Linked DNA regions of Kluyveromyces lactis. The protein of the gene in region 1 interacts with the protein of each later gene in a pairwise test. Links are inferred from orthologs where the notes say so. Each region holds a gene or a part of one and is shown in the gene's direction. Other genes may lie near its edges. The genes, in order: NBA1, CDC24, BEM1 and HOF1.

What was found.
Region 2: the proteins of NBA1 (region 1) and CDC24 interact in binary tests that used the Saccharomyces cerevisiae proteins (3 or more experiments, as listed by UniProt). The link is inferred for Kluyveromyces lactis from reciprocal best matches to the Saccharomyces cerevisiae genes NBA1 and CDC24.
Region 3: the proteins of NBA1 (region 1) and BEM1 interact in binary tests that used the Saccharomyces cerevisiae proteins (3 or more experiments, as listed by UniProt). The link is inferred for Kluyveromyces lactis from reciprocal best matches to the Saccharomyces cerevisiae genes NBA1 and BEM1.
Region 4: the proteins of NBA1 (region 1) and HOF1 interact in a two-hybrid assay, tested with the Saccharomyces cerevisiae proteins (2 studies listed by BioGRID, with this or other methods). The link is inferred for Kluyveromyces lactis from reciprocal best matches to the Saccharomyces cerevisiae genes NBA1 and HOF1.

The regions. Positions count from the first base shown.
Region 1 is NC_006041.1:1,181,421-1,185,887, reverse strand, and holds NBA1 (Nba1p), read left to right. Parts: upstream 1-1,543; coding exon 1,544-3,364; downstream 3,365-4,467. Other genes in the region: AGC1 (citrin), read left to right, coding at 1-1,082; MTF2 (Mtf2p), read left to right, coding at 3,611-4,467.
Region 2 is NC_006039.1:1,096,794-1,101,964, forward strand, and holds CDC24 (Rho family guanine nucleotide exchange factor CDC24), read left to right. Parts: upstream 1-1,837; coding exon 1,838-4,111; downstream 4,112-5,171. Other genes in the region: retrograde cargo receptor ERV46, read left to right, coding at 129-1,346; CIR2 (electron-transferring-flavoprotein dehydrogenase), read right to left, coding at 4,336-5,171. UniProt on the Saccharomyces cerevisiae protein: Promotes the exchange of CDC42-bound GDP by GTP. Controls the polarity of calmodulin, and the calcium regulatory process of bud emergence. CDC24 may be involved in the initial selection and organization of the budding site.
Region 3 is NC_006041.1:2,075,841-2,080,641, reverse strand, and holds BEM1 (phosphatidylinositol-3-phosphate-binding protein BEM1), read left to right. Parts: upstream 1-1,654; coding exon 1,655-1,663; intron 1,664-1,881; coding exon 1,882-3,600; downstream 3,601-4,801. Other genes in the region: putative ubiquitin-specific protease UBP16, read left to right, coding at 1-1,237; KLLA0_E23343g (uncharacterized protein), read right to left, coding at 3,880-4,410.
Region 4 is NC_006039.1:1,064,857-1,069,529, reverse strand, and holds HOF1 (formin-binding protein HOF1), read left to right. Parts: upstream 1-2,113; coding exon 2,114-3,937; downstream 3,938-4,673. Other genes in the region: LPX2 (Lpx2p), read right to left, coding at 1-765; centromeric DNA-binding histone H3-like protein CSE4, read right to left, coding at 4,132-4,673. UniProt on the Saccharomyces cerevisiae protein: Throughout most of the cell cycle it forms a double ring that coincides with the septins. After the onset of mitosis, forms a ring-like structure which colocalizes with the medial actin ring. Mediates cytoskeletal rearrangements required for cytokinesis.

The DNA.
Region 1 (4,467 bases):
GTGTTGTGAAAATCTTCCAAACTAAGGGTATTAGAGGTCTTTACTCTGGTCTAGGCCCACAGTTAATCGGTGTAGCCCCCGAAAAAGCTATCAAATTGACAGTGAACGATTTCATGAGACAGTATTTCATGAACAAGTCTCGTACGATTAAATGGTACCAAGAAATCCTTTCAGGCGCCACCGCTGGTGCTTGCCAAGTTGTGTTTACAAATCCATTGGAAATCGTAAAGATCAGATTACAAATGAGATCAGATTACGTCGGTGAAAATGCAAGGCCACAATTAGGTGCAGTAGGAATTATAAGGCAATTGGGCCTTCGCGGTCTCTACAAAGGTGCCGCAGCATGCTTACTGAGAGACGTCCCATTCTCCGCCATATATTTCCCAACATATGCTCATTTAAAGAAGGATGTATTTAATTTTGATCCAAATGATAAAAACAAGAGAAACAAACTCAAAACCTGGGAACTCCTCTTGGCTGGTGGGATCGCAGGTATGCCAGCAGCTTATTTGACCACTCCTTTTGATGTGATTAAGACCAGATTACAAATCGATCCCAGGAAGGGAGAAACAACGTATACAGGTGTAATCCATGCAGCAAGAACGATCTTGAAAGAGGAAAGCATCAAATCATTTTTCAAAGGTGGACCGGCTCGTGTGTTGAGAAGTTCCCCACAGTTCGGTTTCACCTTGGCAGCATTTGAAATGTTCCAAGGGTTATTCCCATCGCATTTCAAGAACCATGAAACAAACAGTAACAACGACAGCAACAATAACTCAAGCTCTTTTGGCGGACCCAAAAAGCATTCCGACGTAGAGGATGATACACCCATCGTCACTGGTTTGTTCACAACCTTCTACAAAAATTTCAAAAATAATCATTACAGCCATGAACCAGTTCCGATAGAATTCTATGGTCCATCAGTGGACCCATACTCCAGTAATTTCCTCAATTACTACTACAAGAGCTGTCAAATATCAAAAGTTTTCATAGACCTCGATTACAACTTTGCCAAGTTCGATTTTAATGTTTACAGAAAGTTCCAAGATGAATTGAAACGAATTGGCCCTAAGAGCAACTAATGTACATTATGAACTAAGTTCGAAACACTATTTAATACGTATGCATTTATATCATTGTATACACACGCGCATCAAGGTGCGGTACTAATGTAAACACCTATTTATTGTCTACTTCCATTTTCTTCAATTCTTGTCACCTGACCTTCAAATACTAAGTGTTTACTATCTTTCCTGATCTGGAATTCAGATCAACAGTGAAATCAAAACATCAACACCTTACTGACTGTAAGAATCTTTGATCTAAACGCAGGTTAGAGGTTTGTCAACCCAGTATAGTAATTGTAGCAACTAACAACCATCTACTTATTGAGGTAGATACATTTATTTTTGAAATTGCTTGTTGTTGAGGGAATTCTTTGGAAACAAGTCTATTTTAGAGGATACTATCCCAGGTATCAATAACAGTTGATCTGGAAAGAAGGGAAATACTACAACCAGAAGCACTATCTTGGACAAATACAATGAGTAAAGAGCCATTGGAGAGTGCAGTTAGGCCACCAAGCGCTAGCAACAACCCTAATTACAACAGACTTTCTGCTATGATCGAGAATTACAGCTTACATGAGAGTTTGGATGATGAAATATATATGCCAAGCAAGGGAATAGATTCTGCTGAAAGGGCATCTCCACAATTGTCATATACATCTAACGATCAAAATGTGGCATTCTTCAATACGTATGGGTCCCCTCAGCCTTCTCCAGATGGGAATCGTTTACAATTAAACGGTCAATCGCCAGGAAACAGAGAAAGCATAATATCGGCTTATTCAGGCACTGTCCATGAAGGTGTTCCAGTCTCCTATATAGTCAAAAATAACAGTACTACCGCTGTGAAGAAGGAGAATTTTGAAGAGCCAGCTTTACCGCCCTTCCCTACTAAGAGCGAATGGTCAGCTGCATCAGCAGATGCATTGTCTGAATTAACAACAAAACCAGTAGGAAACTCTATTGATACGGAAGAACCTCAGGTTTCGTTAAAGAAAGAACAGATTGGGCAACCAGCTGAAACAGATACGACTCCTACTTTAGAGAAAAACAACTCATTAAAACTTGTATCTATGGAGATGTCCCATCAGAAGGTCCCTTCATCAATCGCATCAGGTAATCTAGCAAGCGAAAGTGGACATTCCTATAACGCATCTGCCACAAGTAATTCGGGATCCAGCATGGTAAATTTGGACCATACCTCGCAATATGGTGCTACTGGTAACAGTGGTGACTGTCAACATCTATCTCAACTTGAAACGACGACAATTAAAGAGGAATCGTACGATGAGCAACAACAAACTCCAGTTTCTGATTATAATAACATCCCCAAGGTCAATGTCACAGAAGCAATTTCGGACACTACACCACTAAACATATCACAGGCTCCAAGCCAGCAAGATATATCTCAGGTATCCGAAATCAAATCAATTGCTTCGAGTATATTACCACCACTAGAAACTCAAGTTAACAGTAAGAAGACCGCTGGTGCTGAACCAGAACTTGAAATCATATCAGACTTACATCCAACAGTACCACCAAGAAGCGCAAGAAGGCCCAAGTCACATATATTTATCAAGGAAAGTTTAGATGATATTCAGAATCAACTTGCAAAGGAGATGGGGAAAGGTCACAGTGCCAGTGCAAGCCGGAGTGAGAGACATTCAAGACAAAGCAGTGTGAGATCTGAAAGTTTCTTCTCTGCTACTGAGCAAGATGATACCATGGGACCACAGGAGGATGGATACACTACTAGGCCACTACCTTCTATTCCAAGCTCATCATCGTCAAGATTGGAGACCCCAGAGAACCAAATCACACAACAACCGAATGACCAGGCAGTGTGCAATGTAAAAGATCCAGAAGATGATGATGATTACGAGGACATAGTAGAGAAAGGTGCTGATTCCACTAAAGCTGCCTCATCAGTAAGGACTCCACAAAGTAAGCTGCCAAAGGCTCCCAAGAAAGGCCATTCGAAGACCAGATCCAAATCTCACCAACGTCAAGGCCAAAACCAAAGCCACAATCAAACCAAAAAAATCGGATCCAAACACAACAAAGAACTAAGATCCTTCGATATAGATACTATCTCACAACTATTGAATGTTACAAAGGGAACCCTGATAGGGTCAGAATTCTCTAACCTTGGTATGAAGATCGAAGAGAAAAGAGCTCTTGAAAGATTGGTCGATTCTCTCTCTAGATTGACTGCAGATATGGTTCTGGATCCAGAAAAGTACCAAGAAGGTTTAAGAAGACTTGAAAGAGCTACTAAAGCCCTTGATGGGTTTTGATACGAATTTTTTGTGCTTTTTCTCTTCTCAGTTTTGTATTAACGTTATCAGTAAAGAATCAATATATACCAAATGTAATAAGTATTGAAAGAAAAATTCTTAAATCAAAGAAGGAAACACTGGCTTTGATTAATAAAAGACGTTGCAAAAGATGCCTACGGTTCAATCTATTGTCTCTCACAGTGTTGATACCAGTCGTTTAAGCTTGTATAAGGAGCCAATCTAAGGACAGAGGTGGTTTACGATATGTTGAATGCTGCCAGAATGAACTCATCTCTTTTATTTAAAGCTCATCTCCATAATGTAACAACAAGAGCCACAAGAAGACTACTTTCACAGAGCTGTAAACTGGGGCAGAAGCATGTCAGCAGCACCGCAGATGCTATTGAAGAACATAATACCATTTCTGAGGTGATAGAAGAGATCAAACAGAAAAAGAACCCGGATAAAGAGGCGATGAACAGGTTATTGAATCCAGTGTTTTTCAATAAACAGATCGTCTTCTCTGATAAATCACCATCATGGACAGGGATAATGGAGACGGATAAAGATTCTGATAGCCAGACACCGCTACCCCATTCCAGTTTCAGGCTTAGTGATCATGATATAAGAGATTTACCAATATCGGCGACCAGTTATCAAAATGTGCGATTATCCGGCATAGAGAAAGCCATTCAACTAGTGGCAGAAAAAGAGAAGTTGAGAGTAGCATTGGAACACGCACTAGCCCCACATTTGAATCATTTAAAGAAGACTGTGACCACAGATAAAGAGTTGTTGGACACTTGCATGCATTACTTGGACCAATACTTGCAAAGGGATCCCAAGATGGAGGTTCAAACGAAAAGGTTCATCGAAGTGATCCACAAGAGATCTTGCGAGGAACCATCCAATTTACCACAACCTTATTCAATAACGTTACCTGCCATCATACGGTACATATTTGATAGTGGAGAGTTCAAACTACCTGGAGATAGAAACTATATTATATTAAAGACAATTTACAATAAATGCAAAAGTTGTAAAGATCTCGGCCTTTACCTTGACGTATGCAACATCGATTTCTACAACTTGCTAATTAAGTTTATGTGGGAAGAATATAA
Region 2 (5,171 bases), on another chromosome or scaffold:
ATTTGACATATACTAGCATTCACAATTACACATGCTCATAGGAATAGAATAGGTTTAGGATACGGAAATACTACACTACTCACGGAGAATTCGCTAACGCAAGTATCTGTCTACACAAATTTGTCAAGATGAAGAAATCGCCGTTACTTTCCATCGATGCTTTTGGTAAAACAGAGGAGGATGTCCGTGTCCGTACACGAACAGGTGGATTAATCACGGTGTCATGTATCATTATAACGATGTTGTTATTGGTGAGCGAATGGAAGCAATTCAGCACTATTGTCACTAGACCTGATCTCGTGGTTGATAGAGACCGTCATTTGAAGTTGGATCTCAACTTGGATGTGACATTTCCTTCGATGCCATGTAACGTATTAAATCTAGATATATTAGACGATTCTGGGGAATTTCAGATTAACCTATTAGATTCGGGATTCACGAAGATCAGAATTAGCCCAGAAGGGAAGGAACTCTCTAAGGAGAAGTTCCAAGTTGGTGACAAATCATCAAAGCAAAGCTTCAACGAAGAAGGATACTGTGGACCATGTTATGGTGCATTAGACCAATCAAAGAATGACGAGCTACCACAAGATCAAAAAGTATGCTGTCAAACTTGTGACGATGTGCGTGCAGCCTACGGACAAAAAGGATGGGCATTCAAGGATGGTAAAGGTGTGGAACAATGTGAACGTGAAGGATATGTTGAGAGCATCAATGCCAGAATACATGAAGGTTGTCGTGTTCAAGGACGTGCTCAATTAAACAGAATACAAGGTACCATCCACTTCGGTCCAGGTAGTTCAATGCGTAATATCCGTGGCCATTTCCACGACACTTCGCTATACGATGCATACCCACATTTGAACTTCAACCATATAATCAACACCTTGACGTTTGGAGAGAAACCCAAGGATGGAGACAGCGAATTGATCGGTTCTGCTTCAATTTCACCATTAGACAGCCGCCAAGTGTTCCCAGACCGCGACACACACTTCCATGAGTTCTCATACTTCTGCAAGATCATTCCTACCAGATTCGAATTCTTAGATGGTAAAAAAGTTGAAACTACTCAATTCAGCGCCACGTACCACGATAGGCCTCTAAGAGGGGGCAGGGACGAAGACCATCCAAACACTGTTCATTCTAAAGGAGGTGTCCCAGGTGTTTTCTTCAATTTTGAGATGTCGCCTTTAAAAGTCATAAATAAAGAACAGCATGCAACATCATGGTCTGGTTTCCTTTTGAATTGTATCACAAGTATTGGTGGTGTCTTGGCAGTTGGTACTGTCATTGACAAAATCACATACAGAGCACAAAAATCTATTTGGGGTAAGAAGAGCTCTTAAGCAAAGATAGATAGAAAGAGAAATTGTACTACTGTTCTATAAAAGTACATATATAGAAGTTATGTGTGAGTTTGACACTTGTAATTCTTATTTTCCAGTTATAGAACGAAACTCTAGCGTATATCAATATTCAATGCCAGATATGTAGGATTATTACACGACACCTGGCAAGTGCCGCTAATTGGTGTTATACTCTTAAATACCACTGAGAAGTATCTCCTATATAAAAAGAACCTCCAGAATTTGATCCACAACAATGTTTTCGGGCCCCAAAGGTTTTGACCCAGAGATCTCAGTATTGACATTACTCTTGAAAGAAAAAAAAAAAAAGAATAGAATAAAACAATACTGAAATTAACGAAACAGCCAGTGTCTTCGAAGTGAAGTTAAAATAATTCTTATCGTTGTAAGTCTTCCAGAGCTGTACAAACAAGGTTTTTACTATCTAGGAGTGTCAGAGAATAATTCTGTTTTAGTTGCAGCCTGCCATAATGGCGGTAAATCCATCAGTATCCAATGTTTCGCTGACGAGTGTGCGTTCAAATAGCACACATTTATTAATGAACAAAAAGGTGACAGCACAGGAGTCATTATATCATATGTGTTTAATGATCAAGAAGAGATTAGAGTTTCTGCCACAGCTCCAACCATATTTGAATTTAGCGCATTCGAGTTCAGAGATTCTAGCAGAACACCAAGCCCTGCTTTTATCGCAGAAACAGCAGTCACAGCAGCAACATCGGCAGCGAGGTTCGCATTACGAAGGTAGTAGTGCACAAAGTACAAATGGTAGACTTTCCTCCTCAAGTACTCTTCATAGGGACTCTAGTTTCTCGGCTACGAGTTTTGGAGAGGACTCTGAGCATTCTCAGTCCTTTAATATGGAGGACACTTTACTGACTTTTTCTGTTGGTATTACGCCTATATCTGTCGATTGTGACCCTGTAACGCAACTTTCTAAACTATTTCAACAGGGTTCGCCACTTTGTATTATATTCAATGCCGTAAGACCTCAATCTAAGCTAACGGTGGTCTCGTCAGATGATATTAAGATTTGTAAAAAATCTATCTACGACTTCATTCTTGGTCTGAAACAACATTTTGCATTTAATGACGAAGAACTGTTCACCATTTCTGACGTTTTTTCAAATTCGACAGATCATTTCTTGAAAGTTTTGGACGTTGTGAATACGTTGCTGAATGCTGCACCTGAAGTATTCCCACAAATTGATATGAGCACACAGTTGGAATCTCAACGTCTTGCGAAACCACAGACAGAATATGATAAAATTGTCAAAGAATTCATCGAGACTGAGAGAAAGTACGTGCATGATCTAGAAGTTCTGAATAAGTATAGGAAGCAACTTTTAGACAACCAAATTATCAACTCGGAAGAACTGTACATGCTGTTCCCCAATTTGAATGACATAATCGATTTCCAAAGACGGTTTTTAGTGTCATTAGAAGTCAACGGTCAAGTTCCATCTCAAAAACAAAGAATCGGGGCCTTATTCATGCATTCCAAATATTTCTTCAAGCTATATGAACCTTGGTCCATAGGTCAAAATGCAGCGATTGATTTCATTTCGTCTAGTTTCAACAAAATGAACCCAAATAGCACTAATTTTGTCATCGGTAATAAAATGGAACTGCAATCATTCCTTCTCAAACCAGTCCAAAGATTGTGTAGATACCCATTACTTCTCAAAGATCTTTTACAACACGCAGAAAGTGATTCTAAAGAATTGGAGATTGCCTTGGGTATTGCCAAATCCATTGCAAGGAATATTAACGAAAATCAAAGGAGAACAGAAAATTACGAGGTTGTCAAACGTCTCTATGGTCGTGTGGTAAATTGGAAGGGTTACCGCATCGCTAAGTTTGGTGAGTTATTGTACTTTGATAGAATATCAATATCAACGAGCAATTCCAATGAGCCAGAAAAAGATTTTGAAGTGTATCTATTCGAAAAAATCATACTATTATTCAGTGAGGTAAGCCAGAAGAAAGGAAGCTCAATAAGTTTAAAAAAGAAATCGAATTCATCATCTGTTCTTCATCTTTCAAACTCTTCGAACACTAACATGAATGATTTCACGAAGAACACTGGGAAACTGGATTTAAGAGGTCGAATTATGATAGTTAACCTGACTCAAGTCGCTCCGATTGATAACTATTCCCTGAACATTATTTGGGAATCAGCCAAGGAAAAGGGGAACTTCATACTAAAATTCAAAAATGAAGAAACCCGCAACAACTGGGAAAGCTGCCTTCATCAGCTTCTTCGTCAAATTCGCAGCGAGTCCTATAAAAGTGTCAATACGAATAGCGATATGTCGTCATTCTCCTCACCAGTCCAATATTCTCACAACAGTGTTGCCTCCATTGGTAGCACTCTGACCAGACAAATCTCAGAAGTCCTTCCCAAAAGCCATATGTCCAATGCCCGTCAGTCATTTGCAAGCGAATACAGATCTATATCCGAAAGTTACAAAAATTCAATCCCTGACACTATGCTTCTACTGAGGGTCTCATTCAACAACGATTTTTACACAGTCTTAGTATCCTTAGACTGTTCTGCGGAAGATCTGTTGCTTGCGATTAAAAGGAAATTGGCACATTTAGGAGTAATCACGAAGGTAAAATACCAGGATGAAGATGGTGATTTTGTGATGTTGGAAAGTGATGATGATTGGTATGTTGTAAAAGATATGCTGAAAGAGAGTAATGAAAGACTATTGAACGTTTGGGCTTATACAAACTGAGACATATTAATAATATTTTACCTTTGATTGTATTATACATAGATTTCACTTTTTGGCGTTTTTCAAAGGTAAATGAAGACAATTCCAGTTTGACAGGTTCACTTGGTTGATTTAATATAAGTTCAGTTATTAATGAAAATCATATTTTACAGATATGAATAAATAAATTATATTAGATAAATAAATATTTCAGGCCAAATTTTACTCTGACTAATTTAACAAACTCAGGTAAGTGTGTACTTTGGACCATCACCTCCCTCAGGAACTTCCCAATTAATGTCCTGAGTTGGAACCTTGATGTCACAGGTTTTACAATGAATACAATTTTGTGAGTTAATCTGGAATTTCACACCCAATGGGGAGGTTTCGTCTTCAACATACTCATAAACACCAGCTGGACAAAATCTTGATTCGATTCCCTTCCATTTTGGATACGCAATACTAGTATGTTTTTCCATATCTTGCTCAGGGACTCTTAAATGGCATTTTTCGTCATCATCGTGATACGTTCCAGTTCTTGATACTGATGTTAAGATATCAAAGGTAATCTTTCCATCGGGTTTTGGATAATCTATGGGTTTGTATTTATCTGCAGATGCTGTTATAGCAGCATCTGATGCATGGTGATGGAACGTCCATGGAACTCTGCCTTTGAGTATGTAAGAATCAACACCTGAGTATGCCATACCACCGAAACCCCCTAGTGGTGTTGCTCCGAATGAAGGCCTAATATTACGCACTTCATAAAGCTCTTCATATATCCATGACTCTTTGAATGCGGTCTCGTAAGACTCTAGGTTAATTGGATGTGCGACAAGTTTTTCAGTTTCACTCGCTTCTAATTCTTCCAAGGTTGGCAACTTTATGATCTCTTCGAAGGACTTTTCTGCTGCTAGCATACCACTCTTCATTGCAGTATGTGTACCTTTGATTTTAGGAACGTTCATGAAACCTGCTGAAGCACCGATCAAACATCCACCAGGGAAGTTCAATTTAGGAACTGATTGGAGACCACCTTCATTTAGAGCTCTAGCTGCATAACCTATGCAGGTACCTCCAG
Region 3 (4,801 bases), about 890 kb from region 1:
TTGTAAGTTGAACGCGATTATCGCAAATGAAAAGAATAGAAATTACCAAAACAATTCTGATGAAGAAAACCAGATTTTGAAGGAGTTGGAAGAGTTATTGCCCAAAGCATTTATTAACGATGATTTGGCTAGGAACTTAAGTACTTACATTAACTCTTACGAGAAAGGTGGTATCAAGACGTCAGAAATCAAATCCACCATTGTCAAGAAAACTGTGGTTGTTGATTCGCCAGATGTTTTGATTCTTCACTTGTCGCGTTCGGTTTTCGACGGGATGGGATATCAAAAGAACACCTGCAATGTTTCTTTCGAAGAAGAATTGGTAGTCAACCGCCAAGTTATTGAAAACAATAAATGTGTTGGCATCAGAAAGGATTCATATAAGTTAAGGTCGATGTTGAGGCATCAAGGTTCTCATTCTACCGGTCACTATGAATGTTTCAGACACAAACCAGAGTTTATGAAAGACATTGATACACATCAAGTCATTAGCAAGACACCAATGGTGGACTTCGGTATTGCGTCGAATAAACTTGCAGCTGAAATCTGGAATCAGGCCGTTCTGAACTCCTCTAACAAATCCGATTCTTGTTCAATCGGCTCGGAAGATTCAATCTCCTCTAACGTGCCATTCAGATCTGTTTTCCTGGACTCACCAAACTCTGCGATTGTTACTGATGATGATTACGTTATTGGAAGCTCAGAGTTCTCTAACGACGCAGATAATAAGGGCCAAAACAACAACAGTGGTTCTGGAGTTTCAAGGACGCCATCCACTTTGAAAAGAGTCACTGGTTTCCTTTCGAGAAAGAGTTCTGTCTCGGCAGCACCGGATAATAACAATACTAGCAATATACTACCTGAAATTAGCAGTTCACCCATGGCTTCATCATCTTCAGAACATAGAAACCGCGCAAGATTTAACAGTGTCTCTTCTATGACGACTGACCGCAACGCTTCGATATTATCTAGTAATGCTAGTATCGACTCTTACAGTACAGATCAAGTTACTAATACAAGTGCTACCGAAGTGGAAACTGAAACAGATTATGACGGTATTTCAATGAATGTCAACAAGAAGACAAAGAAAAGAAGATTAAAGAAATTGAAAAGTGTGGTGAAATACCCATGGTGGAGAATATCTGATACTAAAGTTAAAGAATATAAAACTTCAGATATTTTATCAGAAACTAAATTCGTTTATATGTTGTACTATGAGAGGGTACCAGTAGTCTAACCTGGTCAGTAAGCAAATACTGGAACCAACATAACAACAACCAAAAGAATAAGAAAAAATAGAAACATAGACATATTTTACTAAATTGCACAAGCGGCACCTCACCGCTCCGAATCATTCATCCTTTGTCAATTAACTCATCGATTTATGATGACCACAGGCCATGTATTACTCGATTAATTAGTTTTAGCACTTTTACGTTAACCTTATATACATATACTGTACGATCTTTAAATTTCAGATCATGTGACCTCTAAAACCCTTCTAGAATGAAATTCTTCCTTTCCTTCTGCGGGTTGATGAAGCGAGATGAAAAAGGATTGACATGAATAAAGAGACGAGTTTCAGGAATTCATAATAACAGAGTTGATAGACGAAAGCTGCAACACAAAGGCAAAGGCAGTCAATAGTGGGAAAATGTTGAAGGTATGTAATAATGCGCGTGGTATTGTCTTATGTTTGGCAATTTTGACGTAGTAGCGGAGGATTTCTGACTTTGTTAGAGGCTGGAAAATTTTTCTTTACTGAAAGAAGGTAACCACATGAATATTGCAACGTGAAGGCAAAATACTAACATATACTATGATCATTGGTTGGTGATTAAATTGAACCAATTATCTAATTTCTGGAAATTTTTGGAATAGAATTTCAAATTGAAGAAAGACAGTGTGAAACAGCGCATAACTTCTGCGGATATTTCCGGACCTACTCAAAGTCCAGGGAGCTCAGTGCAAAACGTAAAGACCATTCCTATCAGGCAATTATCTACATCATCACAGCTATCTTCGGGGTTTACAAGTGGAAAATCAAAAGATATCTCGTCTCCAGAAAAAGTAATCAAAGCGTTATACAATTACCAGGCACAATCAGCCGGTGAATTATCATTCAATAAGGGAGACTTTTTCCATGTTCAGCAAGAGGAGAACGATTGGTATGAGGCCTCCAATCCGGCGGACGGCAAGAGAGGCATGGTTCCTAAGAATTATTTCGAGATTTTTGGCAGAACAAGGCCAAATTCGCATGCATCACCGGTGAAAAGTATAAATAGAAATGGATCTGTCGGTAGTAATCAGTTATTACAGCATCATCAGCAGCAACAGCAGCAACAGCAGCAACAACAACCTTCCAATATGGGAACTCTTTATGCAATTGTACTGTATGATTTTCAAGCAGAAAAGGCAGATGAGTTAACAGCCTATGCCGGAGAAAACTTGTTCATTTGTGCTCATCACGATTTTGAATGGTTTATCGCTAAGCCCATTGGCAGGTTGGGTGGTCCCGGTCTAGTTCCTGTTGGTTTTGTGACTATTATAGATATAGCTACTGGTTATGCCACGGGAAATGATGTAAAAAGCGATATCGAATCAGTGAATCTACCCTCGGTCCAAGAATGGAAGATCAATATCGCCCGTTACAAGGCTAGCAATATCACACTAGGTTCAGTGGAACAGCAGGGTCAGTCGTACGTGCAACACCGATCACAATCCAGGCAAAATTCACAAAACCGTCAACCACACCCCAGCACGCAGCACTCGAGCGCTGCCAATACAACCTATCCTGCTGATGCCGTTTTCCTTACCTACGCTGCAGTCGAGACATTTTTCCTACAGGACGATAAGTATTGGTTCCAAGTCTCGTGTCAGTTATCCAACAACACCACGCGTATTTTGAAGCGTTATTATGAAGATTTCTATGATTTACAAGTAAAGCTACTCGATATCTTCCCTGCAGAAGGGGGTAAACTAAGAGACACTAATGGTCAGTGGACGAAACGTATAATGCCATATATACCGGGTCCAGTTCCGTATGTGACAGATACCATTTCAAAAAAGAGAAAAGATGACCTAAATATATACGTGAAGGATTTGATTTCCCTACCGCCGCATATATCACAATCACATCTGGTCAAGGGTTTGTTTGCCGTTAAAAATAATGGTTTTGACCGTGAGATTAGTAATGATGAAACTGTGGAGCTTGACGTAAAAGGTAGGGCTGATGATTCAACTCTGACTAACCAAGAACTACAACTTCCAGAGGCAATGAAGAGACTGTCTCTGATTAATAGCGCTTCCAATGCCAGTGCTAAAGTCAAATCAAGGCCGCCTAGTGGTTTCGCTCCGAGAATAACTGATGAAAAGCCTGTCAAGATCAAATTTTATTACAAAGATGACATATTCGCCTTGATGCTGCATCCTACCATTACTTTTGAAGAATTGTGCAGTAAAATAGCACCTAGAATTGACGCAGATTCTTTTAAGTTGTACATCAAAAACGGAGATGATATTGGCACTCAAGTCACTACTGATGCAGAAGTACCGGTTCTAATTCAAGAGAAACGCAAGATCTTTGTCGATGACAGCTAAGTTATTTGTTGCAAAATTTTATCGTCATAATAAATAATACAAAAAGAACCCCAAGGTGGTCAAAATTCAATTTCTATCCACTGATGGCTTTCATGCTTATCATAATGATGTACTGTACATCGCATTGTAATACTTCAACATAATTTTGACATTAACACTCTTATATTCTTTCACATTAATTCAGTTCAACAAGTAAAAATCAGTTGTTTACATACTCTCTCTATAGGTGTTAATACTTCTATCAAAATGATAATAATACTTCACAAACATGTCTAAGGACTATTCATCCAGCTCTATGTCCATGTCTGCATCCGCGTACGGATCTGTATCGAGATCCATGTCAATGTCCATGTCCGCATTGTGATCAAACTCATCATTTCTATGCATGAGATTCGGTGCCAGATCAACTCTGGAATCTGCTGCAGTCTCAACATTCATATCTACTTCATCTAATTTTGGACTATGCTGTTGGTACCATTTTACCCACAAGCTTGCTACCACAGATCGCCAGTCATACCATTTTATTACCTGCGAGTTAAACTGTCGTACATGATCGAATATTCTTTCATATATCTTATCATTTTTGTTTGAACCACTCAATTCGCGTTCAACTACATCCCACATCCTTTTATTTACAACTGCTTTGAATGAGTTCAACCCTGAATCAATTTTATGTTTCTTTATCCCATCGGTTCCCCTAGGAGCCAACGATAGGTTTTCGAAATCATATATTAGCCGTTGTTTCTTATAGTTATCGATTCCTATCGGGTCAGGACTCCTTGACCTCTTCATCTTGAAGCCTGATGACATTGTATAGCTAATACCTTGCTCATTCGCAGTGAACTATTCTAAGCAGATGATCTGTTCGCTGCTACTTTTGTAGGTGTTGTTTCGTTTGTCCTAATTTATCTTATGGCCAACCGAGAACTTTCTGGAAGCTTAAAATGAAGATCATTAGAAATGTTTGTAAATTCACCCGTTAAGAAAGTTTCGTAGATGAAGCTGATACTACAGGTACTGGTTATCTTTTTCTTGTTAGATATCTCTTGATCGAGCCTTCAATATTGCCTTTAATATGCTTTTTTTCTTTTGTTTCTTCTAAGAGATATGTATTTGATCTTCTTCATAATTAAGGGTTTCGAATGTCTTTTTCATACTGAAACATTTAGTTCACAGCAACTTGGTTTACTTCAACAACGTT
Region 4 (4,673 bases), on another chromosome or scaffold:
CCTCTCTCTCCAGTTCTTGTCGGTGACATCATCCGGGTTGAAATCCTTCAATGCAGCAACAGCTTTCTGTGCCCATTCAGCTGCATGAGATTCCTTTTCAGCGGATTGGATGTACTCCTTTTTGGTAGGTAAATTAGATACAATATCAGAAGTTAGAGAGAAACTTGCATCAGCAGCTTTGCCCACAGAACGATCAGTGATACCTCTCACATAAGAAACCTTTTCTGGATTAGTACGTTGATGAACACTTTCAGCAGCGTTTCTTTCAGCACCCGCCAAAACTTTAGTAATATCCATCTTTGGTGTCTTAGAGTGCAATGGCGAAGAAGAACTGGAATTGACATAGGTTACAGTAGTACTTGCTGTACTAGAGGTCCTAGACCTAGCAGCCTTGGGAGCAGCAATTGCAGCAGAAGACGCAGCAGACGAAACTACAGCACTGGCTGGTCTGGATTGGTCAGTTTTCTTTGGAGTAATGACCGCATTAGCTGCCTTCGAAGCATTTGGATTCAATAACCTTTTGTAGGCTTCGATGGTGGTCTTGTTGCTCGTTGCCAAATTGGCAGCAGTATCTGAAGCATCCTTACCATTAACCACGCCGGCCTTCAGAGACTGAGCTGGAGACTGGAACACACCGTACTTCAATTTTGCTCTGTATAGAGCCTCCTTGGATAATGGTTTACCGGCACTCTGGTAAACAGAACTTTGTTCTGCACCATTAGTATCCCTGGATTCGTCGCCAGTTACCGCAGAAACTAAAGACATTCTGTTTCTGGTAATATATCTGGGTATTTTCTTAGCTACTAATAATTCAAAGTAAAAAGCGAAAGTGTTCCTTAGACTCGTACAATTGAGCGACCAAGTAGTGTAGTTTTTTGGTTTATGTTCCTCTCAAATTTGTAAAACACAATAGGACTTGGTTCACGTTCTGATTTCGATATCAGTAATTTGCTTATCCTTTGCCCGTTTTTTGAGAAGTTTAGTATTAACTCTTCTTTCTAGTGGGAGTAAACGTAACTATGATAAACCTTTACTTGTAATTACGAACGAAATACACTTGAATTCACGTTTGTTTTATAATAAAGCAACGAAGCGAATATATGCTAAAGTGAATTGTTGATTAGAAACCCTATAATTAAGGATATATAATTTCTTGATATTGCAAAGTAAATAAACTTAAAAGAAAAAAAAATTGGCTAGAGTGACTTTTTAGGGACTCCTGGCGAAAAAAAACTGGCCAGAATAATTGAGAATAAAAAAGGAAGGAACCAAGCTGAGGTACCGCAGAAACTTATACCCTCAGTGTAGTTGGAACCCTTGCTGTTGAGCTGGTGCCTTGGTTGTCATCTTTGTTTGCCGTTTTTAAGGGGACGATTGCTATTACGAATTGTATCATTGTATGTACTGTGTTGCAGAGAAATAGTCTCAATTTGGGAACAATGTCGTAATGAAAACAGGGGAAAACTCGGCTGGTTACCCTGATATACAGTTTGTACGTTGTTTTCTGTGAACCTTCTTTGATGGTTCTTAGCAGGAAGAAAATACTCACGACGTTTTTGCTAATTATTTCATTGCAATCCCGTGCGGAGCTAAAGCATATCACAAAGGAGACATAGAGAGTTTTGCGATGGGTTAATTCAGGAATTTAATTGGACTCTCAAGTCATTAGACGGTGCTGTCCATATACCAGGGTAATCGTCAGAGATTATGGGGATTTTAGGCTCTCCTATTTATCCTCGCTTTCTCTTTTCATGTTCTTGTACGGCCGGTACAGACAAAAATGATAGAGGTACAGAATTAAGCATAATTTCCCTTTTTGGTATTATTACTTGCTTTGCAATAAACAAACAAAAATATAAGTCACGTGATTGAACTTATTCCCCAATCAGGAATAATGTAAACATCATCGAACAGCACTATCACAGTGATTGTATTCAGTTGTAGAGATGGATGGTTCTGGCTCTCTCACCAAACTTTGTTCGGTGTATGTTAACAATTCACAAGGATTGAAGTTAGATGTACGGTATCTGTTTTGTCATTCAACAATCTACAATTGAAGGGAAGTTGAGGGCATAACAAAGAGTAGGTATTAGCAAGGAAAGCTATCGATTGAATGACTCAAATATACAACTATCAAGAAAGTTTCTGGGACGAAGACGATCAAGGTGTTACCGTTCTTCTTCAGCATGTTGGAAGAGGTATATGCACCTGTGAGTTATTGCTCGATTGTTTCACTAAGAGAAGTGAGTTGGAGATGGATTATGCAAGAAGATTAGGAGCACTCAGTGCAAGAATAATGAACAATCTCGAACGATATGCGGACTACAATAATATGTCTGAATCCTTAAAATATTTCCAATCCTCCCAGCAGACAATAGCCAATGGTCATTCTAAGGCATATGAGAGGCTCAACAGGGAAAATGTCGGTACGATGAGTGATTTCTTAAAGCAATATAGAGCCAGATGGTCAACGATAACGGGAAACGTGGAAAACTTAAGGAAGTTGAAAGATGAAAAGAAGAAAGCCTTGAAATCTATAGATCAAGAATTACTCAGTGCTGAGAATAAACTGAGAGAGTATCAGCTCAACAAAGAAACTGCCTTGGGCGAATACCAAAGGAAAGAAAATGCGAGAGAATTGGAAAAATGGTCTTCGATAGTGGAAGAATCACACCGTAGGAAAACCGTCTTACATCATGAATGTAAAGCTGCTAGAGCACATTGGTTTGAGGAATGGAGACATATTAGTGGAGAATTGCAAAGTTTAGAAACACAAAGAATCCAGGTCTCTAGGGAATTACTACAACAATACGCTGATTTTACAACCCAGCCTTCGGAACTGGAACTCTCTTTGATGGAACAATTAAAACAAAAACTTTCCAGCTTCACACCTGAACTTGAAATATCGCACTTTTCTTACCACCATGGTACTGGAAGAATCAAGTTGAAAAACTCTAACTCAGTTTCAACGCACAACTCAAGTGCTAACTCTAACCCATCTAATGTGATCCGTCCGAAGAGTTCTCACAAGGCGTTGGATTTAACAAAGAATGATAGGTATGTTCAAAATATAAAAAGACTATCAACCCAGCTGAAGAACACCAGGCTCAATTCAATAAATGCATTAAGTGTCGATAAAGGGTTGCCAACTCCAAAAACTGATGCTGCCCTTGTTAATTCCATAGAATCGAAGGTCCTAAATGATAACTCTGCTCCGCATTCCGTTGAAAACTATTTAGAAGTGGTTACAAAGCCAGGACATGGAGCAACATTATCAGAATCTTCAGAAGAGACTTCTTCAAATCCAACGGACTTTACTCATAGGAAAAATAAGGCAAGTTATGATTCCATGTCGACTTCTCTCTCATCCATGGCCTCAAGTGTCGATGACTCTCAAAGGTTTGCTAAATCTTGGAATTCACGCAATAGAAGAAAATCTAGACCTTCATCAATGTATTCGCCCACAATGGATACGGATACTTCTGACAACGACAATAACAACTCTCTGAAGCCACCAACTGCAAATCGTAGAAAATCCATCGCATCGGATGTCGAAACAGCATTAGAAATCTTGGAAATGAATGATCGTCCGATGACATCAAGAACGAGCTCTGGTGCTTCTAGCAACTTAACTGTGAGCAGAACAGTGTTGCCTTTCAGCAACTCTTTGAATATAATGCGTTGTAAACGTGTGACTATTGATGGTGAACAATTGAATCTACCCATCGTTGATTCCATGAAAAATCCAGTCGTAAAATATGTCAAAGCGATGTATTCGTACACTGAACCCAATGAAAATAACATACTACTTTTCAATTCTGGTGATATCCTGCTGTTAGTCGAATGCATAAATGATGACTGGTATGTGGGTGAGGTATATCAAGGTAACAAACAGCATGGTCTGGTACCAATGAATTACGTGAAAGTAATAAATTGATGTACATCACTTTCACCTTGGACGCTTTCCTTTCTGACCATTTTCACCCGTTAAATAATGAATTTGTAACCATATGTAACCAATATAAAGTTCTATACTTATATATAATTTCTGCTCTTCCAATAGACATCAAACTATTAGCAAATTGAAGCTGAGCAGATAAATCTGTACTTTAAATGATAGGAAGGATTGCTTCAAATAAATTGACCTCGTATCCTTCTAGCTAGTTGCATGTCCTTTCTCATAATTGTAATTCTTTTAGCATGAAGTGCCAATAGATTTGTATGCTCTAATAAACCGACTAAGTAGGCTTCACTTGCTTCTTGAAGAGCCATAATTGCCATGGATTGCCATCGAAGAGGTTCGCTCTCGGTAGTGAATTGATCTGTTACCTCTTTCACTAGCCTCGCAAAGGGCATTCTGGATATAAGCAAATCTGTGGATCTTTGATATTTCCTTATTTCTGCCAAAGCTAGGTCAGTAGGTTTATATCTAGTTCCCCGAGCCTTTGTTATTCTTTCATGTGCGCTGATATGATGCTCTGGAGGGTGAATCTGCTGGCTGCTAGCAGAACGCTCGGGCTGGATGTATCTTGCTTTGTCTTCACTTCTATTTAACAACAAACGTCTTCTTCTGTTTCTCTGTAATAATTGTAGTGCTCTCTGATTGATCGATTCACGATCTATAAGTGAAGCGCCAACATTGCTCAAAGATCTAGAACCGTCTATGCTCCTGA